Daphnia pulex: one gene and its partner. The protein of the gene in region 1 interacts with the protein of each later gene in a pairwise test. Links are inferred from orthologs where the notes say so. Each region holds a gene or a part of one and is shown in the gene's direction. Other genes may lie near its edges.

Region 1 (11,521 bases):
TTAACTTTTTTCGAGTTCCGTTGGAAGTTTTGACCGTTGGAAGATTCGCAAGGACTTGCGCAGTGTCGACTTTGAATTGGCCCGCGTCTTTTTTCTTTGATTCGCGGCCTTATATTATGCCAACGAACCGTTTGTACCGTACGTCTTTTCTCCCTCTTGGCGGATGAAAAGTTGCAATGGCAAATCGTTATCCATCATCCAATCAAGCGGAGGGTCTAATGGACGCCAGATAGGCAGCGAACGTGCCTTGGTTGCGGTACGCATTTTGTCGGCTGGGAGGTTAGAACGTTCAAATAATGTTATGACTCACATCAAAAGAAGAAGACGGGCGGGTCTTTTGAGATTCGAAAGAATTTCAATTTTCAAATAGCTTGGCACAGTTCTAATTGAATGGCTGAGCGCAGCTTCCAGCTTCCTCGCCGTCGACTCCAACTTAAACGATCCTCTTTTTTTTTATTATTAAGGAGTCACGTCAACTCCCGCGTCTATAAGGTCGACGAAACATTGGACACCTCATTATCGTAAACAAAATTCGATTCCCGACTCCCAGTGCCCCCGAGGGCGAGCGGAGCGAAATGATATAAAACCGGATGAACTGAATTCACGGAATTCTGGAAAGATAAAAAAAAGAACCTGAAAGAAATTTGTTCACTTACTGGGAAATGTCGTTTTGATATTGACTGATTATGTAATGCGACTAAAAAACAAGTTTTTCAACTTGTAGGAGCACTTTTGATTAAGGAGATGAAATAAAATCAGGAGAAAATGTCCAGGGATAGAAACTGGACTTTCCAATATCCCGTCACCTGAGAGGAAAGCCACGATTTCTCTTGATTTTTACCAATGGTCCAATGACTAGGTTGTGTTCCCCTCCCAAAAGGCTAAATGTGGGTTGAATTGTTTCTGGGGAACCGTCTGATGTGTACACAAGGCATTTTCCAATCAACAGCTGATATATATTGGAACAGATTCCTCGAGTGGAATGCGTCCTTTGGACCTCTCTCGTAGAGTTGAAGGAATTCCACAGATTGTGGCCGACGAGAGCCTGTCTTTCTCTCTCTGTGCGTGCTGGAAAACAGTCCGGTTTTCCATCTAAAAAAAGTGAAGAGATAGACATTTTCGTGTGTCCATGCGCATTGATGCCGTCTCTACCGGCTGTGCGACGTCATCGTTTTCAAATGTGTAGCGAATTAATGAAGCGGATAAGAGTGAGAGCTGGAAAAAAAAAAGTTTCCTTTGTCTATTTTCTTCCGTCGGATTTTCCCCCCTTAATAACCTATACATGGCCGGAGAATAAAAGGAGAGAGAGAGAGAGCAAACCAAGTTGATGAATCATCACATCGAATCCGATCTGATTTATTTCTTTCTTTTTTGAGCTCCTTATCTGTTTTGACCCGTTTTTCTTCTTCTATGAAAGCTGCTTTCTATTTCAATCTGTTTGTCTTCATCTTTTCATCTGCTGCTGCTGCCTTCTCCTCATCAGGCGAATCGATCCTGGCGGAACAGGATCAATTCAACACTCTCGCTCGGGCAAAAAAGGTCGGATCTGCTATAGGCACCTGGAGAATCCCGTAATGTTTTTTTCCCTCCTTTTTATTTGATCTCGAAAAAAGGAAAAAAGTGAAAAGCTTTTTTTATTTTATTTCACGTGTACTACACACATTGTAAAAAAAATAAGGATCAAAACGTCAGGGGGGGAATCGATCGACCCGCGCCGTGTGTGTCTATAGGTATGTTTCGGGACGGGCAACGGGGGATAGAAACGTACGTGCTCGCTTGGCCGTGAATCAATCAACTTCATCTCTCAAGGCTTAGAGAAATCGATCACGGGTTGGGCCCAGCTGCTACTTCCTCTCTCTCCTACTACTCCCCCCACCCTTTTGTGACCTCTCGTCCACTCCTGGATGGGTAATGGAACCGTGCTTTCCGGGAGAGAGTTGAACTGCGAGTGTCTTTCCAGCCCGAGCATCTCTCTCAACCGTTTCGTCACGCACTTGGCAATTGATCCGCTAATGACTGCTTGCACAGTTGCCGTGTTCCTCCGTGATTCCCAGTCCAGTCCGTCTCTTGTTGTTCTGTGTAGTTGCTGTTACGACTAAACTCCCAACTGGGCAAAGGTCATGCTCATCGTGTGGATTAATGTCACTTGATTTACATCCATTCCGCCCATTTTCTTTTAATTTTGTTTCACGTTTGTGTAGGTAAGAACAGCACGGGAGCCTCGGAGACCAAACATTGGCAGGACATGATCACCAAGCCACGTCAGGCTGTCGTCCAATGGCATCGCTTGAAACCCGAGTGATGCGACGGAGCGGAAGAACTAAGGAGCTAGGACATCCACAGAGCCAAATGACGGAAGACGGAGAATCTGCTATATACAAGCTAGGAGAGAAAAAAGGATCGAAGAAGAAGAGAAAGAGAGAAGGAAACACACACAAAATCCATGACCCCTGTACACTCTTTACTTCCCCTCCTCCTTTTTTTGGTATTATTTTTTTTACTTCAACGACCTCATCAAAAGAGTCTTACGATCTATTTTGTTGATCGAAATGGCTTCGTTCACGATCCGCAAGACTGAAAAGACCCAAGGAAACAAAAAAAAACAAACAAAAAACGAATATTTGAAAAAAAAGAAGAGATTGCGCATTTTGTTCTGATGTGGTCGCACGGTTTTGTTAACTTGGACTTGAGCTTTTTTGATTGAAGCAAGTTTCATTCACGGAACTTACGACATAAAAGGGCGGGGGGAGGGGAATTGACATCATTTGCAATGTTTTGTATGGTCGTCTTTTTTTTTAAATCCGGAAGTAGAGCTGAAGAGATCCCTTCACTAATACCCATAAACACAAAAAAGGAAAAAAGAAAAAGAAACGATGATGATCTGATTTGACAAAAAAGGGGAAGAAAGAGAATTTGTGTTTTGCTGATATGACAAAAACATTTTAAAAAATGTGTCGACAAAAGAAGACATAATAATGACAAAGTATATTTATCAAATCATCTCATACATGCACTATGACAAAAAATTTATTTAGTGTGTGTGTGTGTGACTCGTTGCCAACGCGGTACTGTAGATTTGATTTTCGTCTTTTATCCTAATTGATTGTGGAGAAATTTTTTCCTTTTTTTTTTTAAATAAGAAAAGAAAAATTAAACATCAAATTATTTAAAGAAAATGCTACCCAGTCCCTGTTCCTCGTCTCTTTAGACCCCCCTTGAGAGTTGAGCCTCTCTCTCTCTTTTTGTTTTGGTTCCCCTTTGGTTTCACTTGGATTGTTGAATTTTTCTGATTTTTACGTGAAATATTATTATTGCTCGTTGGAAAGTTCTGTCGTGAAGTAGATTCTACCACGCGAAAATCCCCTCCGCGCCCTTGTTGCCCTTAGTCCATGATCTTATCTTACGCTTTCCTGTGTCTGTCGTGTCTGAACTATCCCAGGGTGTCCAAAACCATCCTCCGTGTTTGTATACCTTGTTCAATGTATAGAGAAACCCAACCATAACCTTTCATACCCGAAACCTCCCCCTAAAAAGAAAAAAAAAGAGATGAAGAGCTAACTACACACAAATTATACCATGTAAATCGATGAGACTGAGAAAGGCGAAATAAAATTCAACATCAATCGTCCATGGTTTATTTGACCTAACGAATGGTATGTTCCAAATCTATTTAGTTTCTTTAGTTTTCACTTCTAAGGGCTTTTTCCCAGCATCGGCTTCTTTCACCTCTTCTTCCTCCTCTTCACCAGAGTCGTCGCTATCCTCTTCATCTGACGAGTCGTCATCGTCGTCGTCGTCGTCGTCATCATCATCGTCATCGTAAGTGTAGGAATAAGATCCACCACCGGTAGCGCCACCAGAATAATCTAAAAAAAAAAAAAAATTTTTTGTGAATGTGGTGATATTTTTAATTGAAGCCCAGAGTGGGATTGATTACCTGCATCTCCGTAATCATCTCCTTCTTCATCGTCGTCGCCGTAGTCTCCAGCAGGTTTCTGCCTGCCATATTTGTGGGTCCGAGCTGCGAGAAAAATGTGAAATGTATCGGCCAAATGACTCGCGAAATTTTGAGAATCGATAGAAAGATGATATTACTTGACATGCTCATATCTTTGGTCTCGTTCGTCTCGAAGCCGCATTTCGGACAGGGCACCGGCTGGCCACGTTCGTACTTGAAACCTTTACGTCTGACGTGATCCTCGCAGTAGCAGATCTTACATTTGAGGCAAGAGTACTGGCCGTGTCGATTACACGACTGACACTTGTACGTTTCGGCTTCCAGAATTTGGCAAGAAGCTTGATGCTCAAACTGATCATCTTCACAGAGGTGATTGGAGCAGAACGAGCACTGAAAGATCCTTCCACCGTGACCCCACACATTTCGGTCGCATTCAGCACAAACAGCATCTTGTAGGGGGCACAAACATCCATGTACGCTCAGGCATTTCTTACCATGGCAGATCCAAGCCTCACAGTGATCACAAATGGCCCCCTTTGTAAATGTGGAGAAAAAACTCGTGTTGATTGTTGGAAATAAAACATCAGCTTTAAACGAACTTACCACCATTGCCAATCCAGTCGTAAAAACACTTCCGTGCTTGATAACACAGTCCCCAGTTTTCAACATGCATTTCACTTTGGCGCAGTGACCACACATTGGAAGTCGTTGAAGTGACTGGCAAAAGTAACAGAAAGCGCGAAGTTTCTGCTTTCGTTGACATCTATCGCATTCCTACTCTCAACATAAAAAGATATTAAGAAACCGTGTTCAATTGAAAAATGAATCGCACCATATTCGAGTTGCATGCCCAGTCAGCTAACGGTTTCATTTCTTTGCCAGAACGGATCTCTTTCTGGCGTAATTTCTGCTTTTCAGCCTTCTTTCTTTGACCCGTCTTTTTCTTTGGCATTTTGTTCAAAAGTAGGAGCTAATACAATTCACAAAAAATGGAATTTGTTTGAAAATGTCTAGTGGAAGGGATCTCGCCAAATAAGTAAACTCCACTTGCCAGTATATTGTTGACTTGGAAGCAGACGAAAAATGACAGGTGTGTTTAGGGATCCTGCAAAACTAGTCGAGTTGGTGGCGGTCAGAGAGAGAGGGAAAAGAGGTTGGGATCGCGCCGCGTAGCCCCACCCGACAGACAGTCGTGTTTTCATCTGCCAAACACATCTTTCGCCCCTCCAACAGTCAGTGATGTGCATTTCATTTTGCTCACAAAGCTTAGCATTCAAGTAATTCGTTTTTTCGAGATCAACAACTTTGGCAAATTCTCTTTTGGAGGTGATTTAGTGGAAACGACTATTATTAACGCCGAGTTCCTGACGATGTTTAGAGAGATCCGTTGCTAACTGGGGCAACAGGTGTCCCTTCAAATTTTTTTGTTATTGTCATCAACTTGGTCAGTGCTTATTATTTTTGTGGCTTTCAATCTTTGAAATCCAACTAGCCTCATAATGGGGCTTCTTCCTTTGGAGTTCACTGAGTGCCTAACAGACAGCCCATACTTCAGAGAAAATCTCCAAGGCCACGAAAAAGAGTTGGAGAAAACCAGTCTTGCTATTAAAGTGCTAATTAAGGAAGTTAAAGACCTCGTCAATGCTGCCAGAGGTAAGACCAACCCTCTCTTTCCTGTATTATCAATTCTCAGATCTTTTGTTCAACTCAACTCTACCGTTTTATCAATTTCAACCCCCTTGCAGCTGGCTGTATAGATTAGTCATGGATAAGTTATCAGTCCCATTCATTTTTCGTGTAGATCCAGGCACATCTGTGGTATTGGAAGACATTGACCAGAGATTGGGTTCTTGTGAAACGTGTACTGAAACTCGATATGCAACTTTCTCCTTTTTGTTTTGTGAAAGCTTCTGTAAATATGGCTAATAATGTACCTACATGAGACAGGGTAGGGTTTTTCAAGAATTGGGCTGATATGAGACAACACCACAGGTTGTTTGATTCCTTGGGGCTATTTCCGAAATTTCCTGTCGTTATTCTCGTTACCGTCTGTCCGTTCGGGACCCGTAACGGTGAGTCCTGACCACAAAACGCCTTAGTCGGGGGTATTTCTAACGCAACTGATGCGGTCAGCCACGCACGGCCGGACGTGAAGCTATTGCAGGTGTAGATTTTTCGGGAAAAAAATAAAATGTGGCGATCCAAATATTGGTTTTAACAGTAGAGTTATAAATGATCTGGCTTTTAACTCCATTTTTCCTTTCTTAATCGCACGATAACAGCCTTGTCTCGGGCGCAGCGCAGTCTCGCCACAAGTCTGATGAGCTTCCAGTTCGAGTGTATTGGCAACAGCCAAACGGATGATGAGATCGTCATTGCCGGGTCGCTCAAAGAATTCGGTCGACTCATCAACGCCATTGAAGATGAACGGGATCGGATGGTAATGCCTCATCGCCTTTCTTCCGGCATTCTGCTTACGTTTTCGAATAAAAACTACTTATTTTCCTCATCGTTAGTTGGAGCGAGCTAAGGATCAATTTATCGGACCACTGGAGAACTTTCGGAAAGAACACATCGGCGGTGCCAAGGTGGTGCAAGAGAAAATGAAGTGTGCTGTACGTGACGATTAATTGAATTTCATTTTTTTCTTTCTTTTCCCGTTCAATTCGGCAGGAGGAAAAGAAGAAATTTGAGAAGCAGACGGCCAAGTTCGTTCAGAGTCAAGAGCGCCACTTGAATCTATCGACTAAGAAACAGGATTCCGTCTTACAGGAGGTCTCTTATTTGTTCTCCCTTCTTTGCATCTATTATTACGTGTTCCTGGCGAGAGTTTAAGAGGTGTTGATATCTGATCTGGTTAGGCGGATGCGATTTTGGAGATGGAGCAGCGCCACTTTTGCCAGGCCAGCCTCGAGTACGTCTACCGTCTGCAAGAAGTTCACGAACGAAAAAAGTTTGAGTTCGTCGAAACGGTAAACCTTTTCTTGTTTTTAAAATTTTTTTAATTCATCTACAAAGCTTTCTTATAAAAATAAGACTATTAATAATTTGTCGAAAATCTTGTTTCGTTTTTATTTAAAACAGTTGCTAGGCTTCATGTATGGCTGGCTAACTTTCTATCATCAGGGATACGAAGTGTCGAAGGAATTCCGACCTTATATGACTGACTTGCAAGTGCGCCTTCAAAAGGTAAGAGTACGATTCAAGTGGAGCAAAACAAGAAACAGCAAACAGGTTTAACGTGTAAACGACTCTTTATTCTTTTTGGGTGATTTTAGACCCGGGAGAACTTCAACACAACACGAGAGGAGGCAGAATCGTTGATGCGCAAGATGCTGGAGGTGCGTAAGACGGTAATAGCTTCTTGCTCAGCTTTTGTGTGTATTGTGTGCATGCTCTGGCGTTATGAAATTTAATTTTAGCTCCAACGCTTCACTACAAGGATGTCGGCAGACAGTTGGCAACTCAGATTGAGACGAATGGTCAGGAAAATGCGTAATAACCCTTTGATGATGATGATGGAGCACTGCCATCTAGAACTTAATAATCCTATCCTATGACAAAGTGATCAACCAACTGTCGGAGATGGGTGTTTTTTACATTTCCTTTCCTCCCCCTCCTGACCACAGCTACGCATATGATTAAAATTGCTATGTGCACTCAGTCCCAGAATTTTACCATTGGATTTTTCGTGCGCGTGGCGTTATTCGAATTGTTCTAGGGATTTGTTTCTTGTTGAATATTCGTTGAACACTGTAAACAATGTCCGTTTTGAAACTTCGAATGGTATCTTCAAGAAGTAGCTTGTTCGTCGTTATTTCTAAAACTGCTTCTTTTATTTATTCTTTTCAGAAAAGCAAACAGGATATTAAATTGGTCACGTCATGAGACGTGTAAAAAAGATTAATGGCTATTCAGTATTCACATTACGTTCTCCCATTATTTACGTAAAGTAGACTCGTAGTCTAGGCCAGTTCTGAATCATGATTGATTAAGCGATAGAAGCCTCTTTGCAGTTGCCTGGTTTTCTCATCGATATGTGCAAGGCGTATTTTGTTGCTTTTGTCGCAGTTTCTTGACCTTTTTCGTTGCGATGTGAACTAGAAGATTAATTTGTTTTGGAGGGCTTTCGTCATTTGCCAGCTTCGGTTGTTTGGTAAAGAATTTCTCGGTGTAAAGTGGGCGGCTTTTGTTACTGCTCTAGAGATGGTGGTGGGTTTTTGTGAGTGCCTATATGTTTGAACTGGTGTGGACGTTCTTTCTATTTGCTGAGACGCGACTGACTTTCTAATTTTTGACACCCGCATCTGTAGAAGCCGTGCGACCCAGGCAGTTTGAACAAAATGTACACACGACAAGGCTATCTCTACGTCATGGAGAAAAGTAAGTGGGTCACCGAGCCAAGTTCCTTATTTTAATGTACTTTTCTTCAAGCATTTTTGACGGGCTAGTTAGTTAAATAATGCGGACATGAAATAATAGATTTTATCGAAAAACATAATTTTGTGTGACTGTTTTTAATCGTGGGTTTTTTTTTTCTTCTCTGCAGAGGCATTTGGGACCACTTGGTCGAAACATTATTGCCAGTACACTAAGGAAAACCGCATTTTCACCATGATACCGTACACACAAACGATTGGAAAGATTGTAGGTTTTTGTTTTCTATCCTTCACGGTCATTGGCCATGTAATAATTCCGTTTTGGATTTTTCTCATTTCAACAAGACCACAACGGATACGATGGAGATTAAGTCTTGCACACGCCGCATGTCAGAATCCATTGAAAAGAGATTCTGCTTCGACATTACTCCAAAAGATCGTCTAGTGATGGTGATTACACTGCAGGCGCTATCAGAGGATGATCGTCGGTTGTGGCTTGATGCAATGGATGGAAAAGAGCCGGTAACACACCAACCCACAGCCAGAAACCCGTTTCCTACCGTAAATAACAATTCCTTCTATTAACAACTACCATAATGTTTTATGCTGTTGCATTCGCTATAATCATTTAATGGCGATTTAATTTTTTCAGACTTATGCTCAACCTGGGAAATCGTCCAAACACGAAGAAACCACACTGGATGAAGTTGGTTTCCTATTCATTCGCACTTGCATCAAAGAAATTGAAAATCGAGGTAAGCGTTCACTAACCTCATTTTCCTATCCTTACAGAAATGCTAAAAATGACTGTTATTATATCGTAGGTTTGGAAGATCAAGGGCTGTATCGACTGGTCGGCGTTTCGTCCAAAGTCAGCAAGTTACTATCGATGGGGCTTGATCGACGAAAAGTAGAAAAACTCAATTTGGAAGATCGATTAGAATGGGAAAACAAGACTATCACTAGCGCCATTAAAACTTACTTGCGTCAGTTACCCGAGCCGCTCATGTCATTCCGTTATCATACTGCCTTTATTGCGGCTGCAAGTAAGAGACTGATATCTTAACATTTGACTTGACCGGGGACTTATTCCCACGTTTCCGTTTTCCCGTTTTATAGAACAGGAATCACGTCTTCATCGAACAGCAGATGTGCATGCCTTAGTTCATCGACTGCCTGAAAATCACTTTAAGATGCTGGACATCATGATTACTCATCTCAAAAAGTGTGTGAATTTCATATTTAAGTGTACTAATATTGAGTTAACATTGGTTTGCATTCCTTTACTCGTATAATAGTGTCGCTGCAAAATCAGACAAGAATTTGATGACCGTTTCCAATCTTGGCGTGTGTTTTGGACCAACACTGCTCCGTCCGGAAGAAGAGACTATGGCAGCAATTATGGATATAAAGTTTTGCAACGTCGTGGTTGAGATTATGATCGAAAATTCTGAAAAGGTATGAACCCTATCGAATCATATTAATCTTGCATGGACCTCAAACCAATATTATTTTTTAAAATGTAGATTTTCAAGACGAAACCGGATCCGTCAGAATTACCAATAAAAAATCCAGCAACTGTCAATATGCGTCCACCGTCACCACCGGCGTATCAGCCTCCACCCCAGGTTTACACTGGTGGTGGAGGTGGAGGGCCAACTCCCCCGTCCTTGATTCATCGTCAACCTGTTGCCAGCTACAGTCTAATTCCCCCTATTGCTCAAGCTCATCTCAGTCCACCGCCTTCATCTCCTTATGTTGACGGTCCTTCTCGTCAAATGGCCTCAGTAGGTAACACAGGAGTTCGCAATCCGTCACAACCTCAGCAACGTGTAGCGTATCCATCAAGTCCCACCACGGCTGAATTATGGTCTGGTAACAAATTGCCGCTTTCGGTTCAAGCGCAATCGCATGGAGCTGCAACATCATCAAGGTAAATTTTGATTTCCTTTGTCTTTTTAGGCAAGTGTGACTAAACAATTATAAATCGTGTGTTTATCAGGTCAAATTTACGGCCGGGATCGGCTGGAGCATTATCTAGTGGGCCTACTGGTCGTCCATTAGGAGTCATTCCTCCTTTGAGTTCCGCCACTTCAGCCCCAGAGCGACCTCACAGCAACACCAGTCTTAGTTCAAGTGACTCGGCGCCTGGTTCAACCGTATCTTCGTCCCGCTCCTCATCTAGAGATCCATTGCCTCCCCTCTCTTCTTTCCCCACAATAGGGCCGATACCTCCATCAGTATTAGCTAATCCCTCAACAGTTTCGTTTAACGGTCAGCCACCAGCATCTAAGCCACCATATGGTATGTTAAAAACTAAATGCTCAAAAACAGTAAAATAATGCAAAACTCGACTGTTGCAACGACAGGTTTAAATTCTACCCAATTGCAGCTGGTGCCGGCATCTGTTGCAAGTATTGATGCATCAGATACTACTAAAACCAATGCCAACCAATTAAGGTGAATTAAATTTAATTTACCATTCAAAGAGCCTATTTTAAAATGACGCAATCTTTTGTTTAAAGTAGAAGAGTTCGGACTTTGTACGCTTGCGTTGGAGAAAATGAAACGGAATTAACTTTTGAGCCCAATCAAATCATCGTCAATGGTATGAAATTTGGTTAGAAATTGTGTTCGGTGTAATTTATTGATATCCTACTTTTATATTTCTTTCGGCAGTACGACCATCCAGAGAGCCTGGTTGGCTGGAGGGAGTGTTAAATGGGCGTACAGGTCTTATTCCAGAAAATTACGTGGAGTTATTGCCGTAAATAGGATAGCTTCAATTCAGAGAAATCTTATTCTTTTGTTGTAAAAATTTATCCGTCGTCCTTTATCTCCCGACGAGATCATCAGTAGAGTTGTTTGTATTCCATCTGTTTTGTCTCGTATTCTAACAACTTTTCATTCCAAGCGACGACGCACTTATCCCTCTCCGTCAACTGATTACTTGTATTCTACTGTATTTGTTCTTTTGCTCTGCAAAATTTCATTGTTCTTCGTGATACCTTACATTTTCCGTTGTTGTTTTACAACACTTGAGCGTTTGTTGACCAAAGATGGGACATGTCTGAAGTTTCCCTTATGTTATCTCACCTGCGCCAGTCTGTATGCTTGCTGCAGTGCTTGTTCTGTTAACTCTGCAGGAAAGATCAAAACTCGGGTGTATCAGAACTGGAGCCGT
Region 2 (11,539 bases), on another chromosome or scaffold:
ATGATATTTTCAAATATTAAAAGAAAAACAAGGGAAAGTTCTACTTGATAAAAATTTCTCATCTCTTCAAAAACTGACTTTTTTTTCATAAGATCTTATTTAGAAGCAGAAAGTACTTGTCAAATCTATATCAAGAGTTCAATGTACAACCTTAGTTAATTATAGGCAAACACATGTGGCACAAATGAGTAGACTTAAATTTATGCAAAATGCTAACCCACAACACAAGCTGATCAAGATTTTTTCACAAAAAGCTCTCATTTAGAAGCATAAAGTACTCGACAATATAAATCAAGAGTTTTATGTACTACCCAGGTTAATTCTAATCAAAGAACAAGCATATGTAGCACACTTATGTAGACTTAAATTCAAGCAAAATTCTAACCCTGTAGTTGTGTTTAATTACTAACTTACAAAAAACTTTTCACAGAAACCGCTTCTGTTAAGTTTTTTGTTGCATGGAAAACCGAAATAGGATGTCACTTGTCTTCCGACATCAAGAACAAAATGCTAAAATGGTACTTGATTGCCTTCTCGATTTAGCTTACAAATACTTAATTACCTTTTCAAATTTCCTCTTTTCATCTTATTTGTCTTGCAAAATAGTAGACTCTCTTCATGACGAGGCAGCGACCACGTGCACGTAATGCAATGAAGAAGCTCACACCACTGACACCAGACTGTAAATAGAAAAATTTAAACTCAATTACCATCAGAAACAAAGTTTTAAACATGTAACCCGTAAATTAATTACACGGAACACACACAATTTAAATTCAGTAACCTTAATGAAAATTAAAAAGGAATTACCATTGAAAAATGTGAGGAAAGAAAGAGAAAGTGCCCCGCCATAAGCCAATGGCTAAGGTAACCTCCTCGGACGGCGTCTTGAAGAAAAAGAAATATGAAATGGAATGTCGACAATGTCGTCTAGAATTTGATGACCCCCCCCCCTCCCTACCAATACAGGGCTGAATAATTCAATCCCTAAACACACTGAAATATTTAGCCACCTAGTGACAGCCCTTAGCATCCACGCACCACGGAGGCCTAGACGCCCTAGAGTCGGACGGAAAATATAATGTTGGGTTCTTTTCGTCGTCACACAAATATTTATACACTTATTAATATTAAGGAATTTAGAAACCGAAAGTAGATTAAGAATATCAGTAGATTCAATATGAGAATAAAAATGAACTATGCAGGCACTAGAATCATTAAAGAAACTTATATTTTTAAAAATGTCGTTGAATTTATTCGAAAAACACAATAAAATTACGAAGAAACAAAGAAAGCAGCATCACAAGAACTTTCGACATGTGACTAGAAAATAATGCGATGTTAGCGATATCTGACTACACGAAAGTGTTCGTTTTTTCCATTTCCTTTTACACGCTACTAATAAAAGTGCGCTTTTTGTGTCTATTAAACGTAACGCATTGTATTACTCGAGATAATGCAAAAAGAAAGTAAATTTAAAAAAAAAAACTACATATGGGGTTACGCCCAAACAACATGATATATCCCATATATACGACCCAACAGCGATCACGAAGGTTTAGCACACCTGTCACGAGAGGACGGACATTCGACTCCATTTTCTATTTGTAAAGGGCGGTAAAGGGTTTCGTGAGATGTGGGGCTTTAATTGTACACAAAGTTTATTTTCAAAATGGGACTATTTCTATATTACACAATACTTAGGAGTGGAACATGAATCGAGTAACCATCGACAGCGTTGCCAACGCCCAAAGCAATGCGGAAGAATGGTAGGAATGCGAAGTGTTCAAATAATTTGCTTCGCTTTTGTAACAAGGAGTTTTCTTGATCATTGAATCTATTAAGCCTTCAACAACGTTGGCTGGTGTCGGGTCGGAACACGTTTTCAAACCGTTGATTACACATGCCTTCATTTTGGTTTCCAACCTGTCAGTCGTTAAGTAAATAGATATCAGTGACTATTTAGATAAGATAACTTACTAGACGAAAACCGATAGCACATTAGTCCAAACAGCTTTTCTTTTTGTCTTTTCTTTTTATAATTACCCGCAGTTAGTGTCGTCAAACATTGAGGTGTTGGTTGTTTGTATACTCTTTATTGCATTTTCTAATTCAGGAAGACTTCCATTGAGACACGTCGCGATGTGGTCAATATTTGACAAAAAGCAGTCAGTTCCGTTTTCAGACATAAAAACTGTAAATAAAATATGCGGTTATTACTCTATCCATATTTTAAATTTCACCGGAAAACAATACTTGCTATCCGCTCCCCTCCTTTATAGCACATGAAATCTACAGCTGCACTAATGGCTTCATCGAAGATTTCAAGATCCCGATCGGCTTGATCTGAAAGACAAACTTGCATAGCCAATATAACTGGTTCTCTACATTTTTTTATCGCTGAGATTTGACTGTAAAATAAAATATTTTTATCACACGTGAACTTCACATGGCAGTTAGTTTTCTTTTAGAAAAAGAAAATTATAACTCACTCGCAATATTTTGCAAAAACCTCATCAAGGATTCCCTTGGGAGACGCCTCTTTAATCTCCTCAGTTATGTTGTGAATATTGATTTTTGAAGATATACAATCGGTCAATACCGTCACTGATTCCTGTTGTTAAATATAATATTATTCAATTATTTTGTTATTTATCTGAATGCAAGAATAGTGAGATAGACTAACACGAATATCTTCGATGGCTTCGCTCCCATTAACCCTTTCACACTCGTCCATCCACTGCTTTGAGTACGAGTCCAGGTTGAAATCATGCTGAGCTTTTTCTAATTCACCAGCCCAGTTATGGGTATCTGCATAAGGAACAAATTATTAAAAAATTTCCAAAGAGATGCAAACGTCTTAGCGACAAGGTCGAAAAAACAAATTAATTGTTTTATTAGTGCTTTATGCTATTATCAAGTGTCGTTCTATGTGGTGTGTTAGGAAATGATGTATAGAGCTCAAATTTATTCAAGGAAAGAGGTGCATCCAAATGAAAGCTATAAAAAGGGTTCAACGATTTTTGATTTATTTCCGTAGCAACATCAATATTTGGTTGATGAAATCAGAAGTTTATGTATACTTCCATCGACTTGTATCGTGCATGGAAATAGTATTCCTGTATACGTTATAACCAAAAAAGGAAACGCAATACTAGGTTAAGTAATTATACACCTGCTGTAAATCAAACCCGTCCACTCTGGTAGTCTCACGCAAACCTTGGAAGCATCTATTTCTATTCCGGATTTTTCCCTGACTCATACTCTCCTTGAGCTAAATGTCAACCAAAATGTTAACTACTATACAAGCTTGAACTATAAATGCTAACAGGATATGTTTGTGTATGAACAAGCACACAAACAAAGTGTACTCAGCAATACTGTCATTTCTTTTTTTTTTAATTAATTCTTCGGACATTGTAATGTAATAAAACAAAAAGAAGTGCAAAAGAGTTACAGACTGATTTTTAAAACATCAATTCAGAGAAGCTCATGCCTTTGTTTGCAGGATTCCAAATTTCAAATACACAAATGGCTGCCATTGATCAACTTTCTCCTAATTCAATTATTTCATGAAAAATTCAAAGTCATGCTCAGTTGTGGTAGTAATTAATAGAATTGTGTGCACAAATCACACTCAACATTTTATCGAGCTAAAGAGCAAGCTTACAAAATTACATCATGTTTCTTAGGCAAAAGAATATTGACACTTACCCTTAACAGATGGTATAACACAGTTAACTTGACCAATTACCAAAACGAAGGTCAAAAACAATGAATAATTCATCTCGAAATGGTGTGTACTTTTGTACACAATACTTTGGGTCAATGTGTTTGGAGTTTGAACAACAACTGGCCTAATACAGGTAGCTTAAATTTTTTACTGTCACTGTCTTAAACAAACAATCTTGGAGCTACAATCTCTCCTATCCGGGCAAACGACGCCCTACTACCAAATCATAGTGGTTTGTCATTCTATTTTGTTGTTTTCGCCTTTCACTTTCACTTGACTTGATCAGGGAGGAAGCCACCTATGGACGATTGTTGTATTTGAACATCACAATCCAATCGATTTTCTTCGTGATCTTTTGAACGGCGATTCACGCAATCAGCAACGAATTCAGTAAAAGGGTTCAAACAGGACCATTCATAAAAAGTGATCACGAAATGTTTGCGATCCAATTTAACCCGTTCCAAGCAAGAATAAAATCAAACAATTTTTAATTAATTAGAAGTTATTTTGGTTTCTCAGCATTTTATGGGTATTTGGAATTTTGGATAGGGAAAAGCTACGCTTATGTAGCTATGTATTGCATTACATTCATGATTACAATTACAACGTTTATTTTTTTTCTTTCTTTTCATTTATTTACAGATAGCTAAAGGCCGGTTGGGGGGAGGAATTGCCAGTGCAGTTCCCAAGCGGATTTTTTTCGAACTAAGAAAAGTCTACCAAGATGGCGGTATTGCCATCTCCGACTTTAGTAAGAAATATTATTATTTATTTCATTAAGTATTTTAGAAAATCGTGAAAGTGGTATTTAAAAAGCTGTGAGATAGTGTAGATTTTCGTATTATAAAAATTTTTCCGGCGCACGCCATGTTTTTTTTTGTGAAATAATGCGTCTTTACAGTGCTCAACTTTTTTGACACATTGATATATTTTCAAAGAATCTAACAACTTGAAAATATTCTTTGATGTTTCAGGTCGCTGGACAGAATTATGCAATCTTCGAGGCTTGGTATCGGCATGTAAGTAACACTTATTTTGTTACCTCCACAGAAACTTTAATCTGATCCCCGTTGCTGGTTTGGTGTTTATAGGTGGATCCCAAAAACCTTGGAAGTATTGGTGCACTTGATGCTGCTAATTTTCTAAAGAAATCTGGATTACATACTTCTGTGCTAGGAAAGGTATTTTTTTTTCAAATGTTTACATTAGTGATTTTTTTTTTTTTTTTTAAGTTTATATTATTAACTTCTAGATTTGGGATCTGTCTGATCCTCAAGGCAAAGGATATCTTGATCAAAGTGGATTTTTTACTGCATTGAAACTAGTAGCCCTGGCACAGAATGGAATTGAAATTAGTATGAGCAACATATCAAGAGAAACCACGCCACCAGAAATGGTAAATGCTCATTAATGGTTTCTGGGTGTTATGCAAGATTACTTTCAATCCCACACTAGTGTCATTCGTGATTTTACGTAAAACTTAATTTTCAGGGTGAACAGCCACCAGCTGTTATACAAAATGCAGTGACTACTACTTCACAGGGATCCTTTTCATCTTTGACTTCCCCAACAGGAAATCAGCCCAAAACTTTTAATTGGGTTGTCACTGCCACAGATAGAGCAAAATATGATGCACTTTTTGATTCCTTAAGTCCTGTTGGTGGCAAATTACCTGGAAACAAGGTTTATTATGATGGTAATGTGCCGCACTCAGTGTATAATTGTGGTATATTATGATTTAAAGGTGAAAGAAGTGTTGGTTAACTCGACCTTACCACTCGAAAGCCTAGGGAAAATTTGGGACCTATCTGACATGGACCATGACGGAGCGCTAGACCGGAATGAGTTCATTGTGGTAAGATAAAAATTTATTGTGAATTACTTTACCCATATCTTTAATCTTTCCGCCTCAAACTTTGTAATGTTTAAATTATTTTAGGCAATGCATTTGGTTTACAAAGTCTTGGATAATTACCCATTGCCGGTAAGTTTACCATCTGAATTACTCTCAACCGTGCAAGAGTCTACTCTTCGACGTGGGTCGTCTCTTGCGGGGTCGGTAAGCGTCCTGCCTCCAGCAGTTTCATCTCCGGAAAACGTTAAAGTATTGAAAATAATACTGTAATAGCTTGTTAATCGATTCTAATGGTTAGGGTTTTTTCTCTTTTAAATACAGGATATTGCGTCTAATGGCCATGCAGTAACCTGGGTTGTCAGTGAAGCAGAAAAAACCAAATATGGAGCTTTATTTCTGCAAGCAGATATGGATCGCGACGGTTACGTATCCGGCTTGGAAATCAAAGACGTTTTCTTGCAATCACGTCTACCGCAACCGATTTTAGCTCATATATGGTAGACTTCACATTACTTTTGAATCTCAACGAACCCCATTAATTGTTGCTGTTGAAACGATCTAGGGGGTTGTGTGATGTTGGGCAGACAGGTAAATTGAATAGCGAGCAATTTGCCCTTTCAATGTGGCTTATCCAGCAAAAGGTTCAAGGAAGAGAATTACCAACTGTGCTAACTCCTGAAATGATGCCGCCTTCTCTCCGTGCGAAAGACACCAATGTTGAGGAGCTGACTCATTCTGCCGAACTTGAGCAAATCGCCAAAGAAATTGAGAGTCTTATTCGGGAGAAGCGTCAACTGGAAACAGATGTGGCACAAAAGGAGGCAGACATCCGAATCAAGAATGGTGAAGTTCGTAATCTCCAGAGCGAACTCGACACTTTGTCGGCTACTTTGAAGCAGTTGGAAGTTCAAAAGAAGGAAGCACAAAAAAGACTGGACGACTTAGATGCACAGGTTTTATTCTTATTCCACTTTTTGTTTGACCCCTCTTTCTTTGTTTTTGCTTTTATTTTTTTGTATGCTCACATAATAGCTGACTTGGGATTGTTTGAAGTGTGCCAACGTATTATTTCCATTGGCTTTCACAATTTTCCTTAGTTGTTTACGTTCCGTTTTATTTTTGGTTTATGTTTTTAATTTGGCATGTCATCGGTAGCGCTCAGCTTTGGAGCAAGATTTACAAGGAGTAGAGCGACAAATTGAAGAGCATGAAAAGCAGGTTAGAACACTTGATTTTGCAAGGCAATTTCTTCTGTTACTTGGTTCACTTACTGCTTGTACCCGATTATCTAATTTTTCAAACATTTCCCTAATCGAATTTCACTCATGACTAAGTAACTATTGACCTGCCTTTTAGGTTCGTACATTCCGGACCCAAGCAGAGGAGCAAGAGAACACGCTTCGAACACAGGAGGCAGAAGTTGCGGCTAAGAAACAGGAACTTAATAATTTACGCAGTGAAGAACTGCGCATGGAGCAACAGATGCAAGCGGCCAGCCTCCAACTCGACAAGCTCCAGAATACACTGCAAGATACTCACTTGCAAATTAGTCAAATTAAAGGTTTACTTGGCGGAAATCTTTTAATACTTTGTCCAGTAAAGTATAAAATTTTTGGTTTTGGTTTTTCAGCTCGCATGACGGTGTTGCAGGAACATCAACATCAGATTGACGAGGCCTTGGTGGCCTATGACGAAGCCTTAGAAACGGGAGATCCCTCTCGATTGGGCGATAACGTTCTTCGCCCTATTGCCTCAGTAGCTTCCGATTCCGATATCTTACTCTCGCCAAACTCTGACCGCAACAAAGTGAACGGGGGAACGTCGCATTTTAACGTAATTGAACTTTGGTTCAGTTTTGTCCAGTAAAGATCATAATATCTTTTTTTTTTTTATTCGAAATTTTTATAGGATGGAGCGTTCGGTAGTGATCCATTTTCTAGTCTGAATGGTCAGAATCGTGGGTTTTCTGACTCATCTAATGGGGACCCTTTCAAGGAATCGGACTTTTTCAAAAAGGCGGCGCAGCCAACTTCGTCTGTTGATCCTTTTGGCGCCAAAGACCCATTCGCCTCAGCCTTTGGAGCTCCTGCAAAACCAACGGTACGTGTTTCTATGAATCGTTAGAAAGTATTTGAATCCTGACTAGTTTGTAAAACGCGTAATGCATTTTGAATTTTTCAGAATGATCCATTCGCTTCCGCGTTTGGTCAAGCAAAAAGCGAACCATTTGACGCCTTCGGTCGTAGCAAATCGGTGAGTAATTAGAATCAGACTAATTGCGGCGGAACTCGAGCGCTAATTGATTATCAATTTTTGGTCATTGCAGCCAAACGTGGGTGCTGATCCGTTCGGTAGCGACCCATTTAACGCACCTAATTCTCCCTTACCTGCCGGTCGAGTGGAAAGCCCGACTCCGGCCTTGCCTCCCAAGAAGTCGAAACAACCACCTCCACGTCCAGCTCCACCGAAAGCTGTTTCTAGTGGTGTGAAAGGTCCCCAGCGCCCGGCTCCTCCCATCGGCGCCACAAAATCACCTGATCCTTTTGCACCATTGAGCGATCCGTTTACTTCGGCTGGTGCGTCTAAGGATCCTTTTGGTGGATCGGGTTTTGCTGATTTTGCAAGTTTTGAATCTAAGGTACGTCTCCGATTGATTTGATGTTTTTTTTTTTGTTTCGCAATTTTCTATGTGTAGTTTATTTTATTGGTAATCCAGAGAGCATGATTAACTTGTACTACGGTTGATTTTTCTTCGTTTCAACTGTGATTCATTTATACCATTCCTTCTTTATATATAAAGCTAAACTCCATTATTTTTATTTTACGTGACATGTGTACGTGTTTTCTCTTGTTCTAGAACAATCTTTTTTTAGTTAGGCGATTGGCAGCCTGCTGGGTCGTGATTTATTTTATTTCGTCTTCGTTTAGATTTGACTCGGTTCATTTGGGTTCTCGTTTCCGTTTCCCGTGTTCGATAAACATGTAAAAAAAAATCACAATTTGGAATTTGATTTCAGAATGATTCCAGTCCATCGGATCCGTAAAGTCAACTAAACTTTCTTGCCTTCTTCTTTCTTTTTCTGTTTTTTTTACGCAGCCATGAGTCAACTCTAAGGCATTTTCCACTGGTCTGAAATCTGACCTTTCGAGCGTTTAGAATTAATATTTTTACTGTCTTCTATACATCTACCTGATATTATTTTAGTTTAGTTTTGTATTTCGAAATTTTTCTGTTGTAATTTATTTTAAGTTTTTTTTTTCTGTTTTCCCTGCTTCCCTTCCCTGCTTTGGTTTGTGTTTAATTGCCTTAGTTTTCTGGCTCTTCAACTGGCGAGAGCTTTGATGCATGGGGAAGCACCAGCACTAGCAGCACAAAACCCACCAGCGAGTCACAACAGCACCGGTATGCCGAGCTAGAATTCACTGAAGATCCCTTCAAAGATGTCGGATTTGGCGATCCGTTTGCCTCAAACACAGACGATCCCTTCGCCGTTCCCACCATCACCAATAACGGAATAAAGATCAAGAAGGATCCGGACAGTTTTGATCCGTTTTCCGCAGACAAGGATCCGTTTGCCTCTTCCACATCTCCTTCTAAATCCACGATAGAATTCGACAGTCCGTTCGGTAGTTCGGCATGGAACGGGCGGCCAGATCCGTTCGCTGCTGCCACAGCTGCTGACAACAATAACAAGTCTCCCTCTAGTTGGGGCAACGATTTCAAGTTTTCCTCTCCCACCTCTAGTGGTCCCACTAAAAGTCCAACATCGATTGGCTCGAGCTCGTTAAAGAGCCGATCGTCTTCCTCATCGTCACCGATGAAAAGTAGCAAAGTGTCTGCATCTGAACCATTGCCCAAGTTGAGCGAAGACGCCCAAATCGCTTGGGTGGCTGCTGAGAGTGTCCGATCGGAGCAGGAAAGGCGAAGGAAAGCGGAGATGCAGGAAATAGCCGATCTGGAAATGGCGATCGCTCTCAGCAAATCTGAAATGAACAGTCGGTCACCACCGTCTTCAGACAGATTAATTTGACCCGTTTGAAAGCTGGCCACATCTCTTTCTTCTTCCTTTCTATTCCACCACACCCTGTTTTTCCTTCTTTATATGTAATCTACGTGACCTTCACAGTTTTTTCACGCTCCTGTTTACGGTACTTCCCTTGTTTTCAAAGGCTAAATATTCAAATGAGCTTTCCTTTGGCCTCTGATGTAACAAAATTCAAAAATTACCAAAAGAATCCAGCAATACTTTGACCGCAAAAGGTAATGCATTGACCTATGTACGAGAGTGAATGGTTAGCCGAAAAAATTTATTTCCTTTGGTGTTCAATCTCCTTTATTCCATCACCCCCTTATTGGTCATATCCCCAAACTATTTATAACGGCAACTGGAGGGCAAGACTGCTGTGTACATTTTACTCGCACTTTTGTATCCTTGCATGTTGCCTTTCTTAGACTTACTTCCCACAATAGTAATAAGGAAAAAAAAAGTGTCGCTCCAATCGCTGACGAATGGGAGAAAGGCGAGAAAGTAGTAGTCGGTGTGCAAAGTGTTGGTAGTTGTGACAACAGGAGTGTGCCATAGTTCGCCCGTCAGTCCCTCGGAAAAAAATTTTTCTTCTTTTGTTCTTACATCTTATCTCTTAATAGTACAATATGGTCCCATCCACCATCACCAAACAGATCTGTCTGAAGAATGAAGAAATAAAAAAGTGTTATTTCGATGCCGTAGTTGTTTTGCTCTTGGAACGTTATTTTTGCCGTAGCCTGATCTTTTTCTTTATTTCAACCTCTCCACTGCTACCCATTTCTCCCCGTTTTCTTTTTTTTTTCTTTTCTGTAATTTGATTGTTTCGGTATGATGCCCAGTGGCCACACGAGAGTTACTTTTTCCCACAAGTCAATTTTTTAAAAATGAAAGTAGCTCTAAGAGATGTACCAGTATGTTTGTTAGTTATCTCTTTTTCTTCTTTTTTTTTTTGTGAATGTCCTTGCGTGAACACGATTGTTAATTTGCCTCAAGAGTCCGTGTTTTCTCTCTCTCCCCCCCCCCATCCAAAAAAACCAAAATGTCTCTCTATCTGTCTCTTTTCTCTCCTCGATGTAGTAACATTATCAACTTTCATCATGTACTTGTGTACCTCCTTCTTCGACCGTTTCTCTCACCTACCTGAAGATGGTTACTCAACACGGACGTCTCCCATAGCGACGAAGGGCAAAAAGAACAACAGAAAAAAACATTTAGATGAATACAGTCTTGGCCGCATCCAGTATCATTCGGCGGGTATCAACGAGTTGTATAAGAGCAAAACCGACACGATGTGTACATTCCAATTTCTTAGCTTTGAACACGCCATCCTTATTATTCTGCCCTTCTTTTTTCCTATTTCGTGTTATGCTGCTCAGTAATACGCCACCTAGTTTTTTTTTCTCTCCTTGTGTTCGTTTATCATTTTTCTGTATCAAATTTTTGTTCCTCTTTTTTTTTTTCGTTTCGTTATCGTCGGGGTAGGCCAGTCGTGTCGTTACGCAAAGATCATGGTCTCACCCTGTCGTGTGTATAACTCGTGTGCTAGACTGATAAAGATTGGTTCTGTCTATCCTCTCAATGTGTAGAACAGTACACGTCACTTTGGTACATGTCAACCGGTCAATATCCTATCACATCATTGGGATTTACGTATTCCGAATTTAAAAAAAAAAAAATCAAGTTATTTAAGCACATTGACGTCAGTCAGGGAAGAGATGCACGCGTAACGGAAACCCGGGTCGGGCGAGAAGGTTTCAAGAATCAAAAGTTATTTACCTTATTCTTAAATATTTAAATTTAAAGGCGATTTGGGATCCACAATTGAACGACAGTGTCGATCTTAAAATTTCATGTCGCAGTTTTGAAGTCTCAAGTTGAAAAATACGTTATTAATACGAGTATTTTTATTCCCCAAAGGTTGAT

What was found.
Region 2: the proteins of rho GTPase-activating protein 26-like (region 1) and epidermal growth factor receptor substrate 15-like 1 interact in a two-hybrid assay, tested with the Caenorhabditis elegans proteins (2 studies listed by BioGRID). The link is inferred for Daphnia pulex from reciprocal best matches to the Caenorhabditis elegans genes T04C9.1 and ehs-1.

Annotation. Positions count from the first base shown.
Region 1 is NC_060023.1:8,074,108-8,085,628, reverse strand, and holds the start of rho GTPase-activating protein 26-like, read left to right. Parts: upstream 1-5,113; 5' UTR 5,114-5,457; coding exon 5,458-5,611; intron 5,612-6,240; coding exon 6,241-6,398; intron 6,399-6,474; coding exon 6,475-6,546; intron 6,547-6,631; coding exon 6,632-6,733; intron 6,734-6,819; coding exon 6,820-6,930; intron 6,931-7,042; coding exon 7,043-7,147; intron 7,148-7,236; coding exon 7,237-7,311; intron 7,312-8,271; coding exon 8,272-8,341; intron 8,342-8,507; coding exon 8,508-8,605; intron 8,606-8,682; coding exon 8,683-8,898; intron 8,899-8,989; coding exon 8,990-9,092; intron 9,093-9,161; coding exon 9,162-9,383; intron 9,384-9,456; coding exon 9,457-9,562; intron 9,563-9,635; coding exon 9,636-9,795; intron 9,796-9,863; coding exon 9,864-10,270; intron 10,271-10,339; coding exon 10,340-10,641; intron 10,642-10,706; coding exon 10,707-10,797; intron 10,798-10,862; coding exon 10,863-10,945; intron 10,946-11,016; coding exon 11,017-11,108; 3' UTR 11,109-11,521. Other genes in the region: synaptotagmin-7-like, read left to right, coding at 2,202-2,302; zinc finger protein 330 homolog, read right to left, coding at 3,667-3,866, 3,938-4,021, 4,096-4,492, 4,562-4,732, 4,791-4,910.
Region 2 is NC_060021.1:11,548,460-11,559,998, reverse strand, and holds epidermal growth factor receptor substrate 15-like 1, read left to right. Parts: upstream 1-4,167; 5' UTR 4,168-4,262; intron 4,263-4,375; 5' UTR 4,376-4,457; coding exon 4,458-4,484; intron 4,485-4,707; coding exon 4,708-4,752; intron 4,753-4,824; coding exon 4,825-4,914; intron 4,915-4,985; coding exon 4,986-5,129; intron 5,130-5,224; coding exon 5,225-5,416; intron 5,417-5,477; coding exon 5,478-5,588; intron 5,589-5,672; coding exon 5,673-5,837; intron 5,838-5,909; coding exon 5,910-6,085; intron 6,086-6,150; coding exon 6,151-6,541; intron 6,542-6,743; coding exon 6,744-6,806; intron 6,807-6,944; coding exon 6,945-7,149; intron 7,150-7,218; coding exon 7,219-7,421; intron 7,422-7,496; coding exon 7,497-7,688; intron 7,689-7,769; coding exon 7,770-7,841; intron 7,842-7,914; coding exon 7,915-8,226; intron 8,227-8,605; coding exon of another isoform or gene 8,606-8,632; exon of another isoform or gene 8,633-8,685; coding exon of another isoform or gene 8,686-8,691; exon of another isoform or gene 8,692-8,899; coding exon 8,900-9,619; 3' UTR 9,620-11,232; and 1 more. Other genes in the region: 27 kDa glycoprotein-like, read right to left, coding at 1,701-1,926, 2,047-2,194, 2,257-2,411, 2,493-2,614, 2,687-2,811, 3,715-3,787.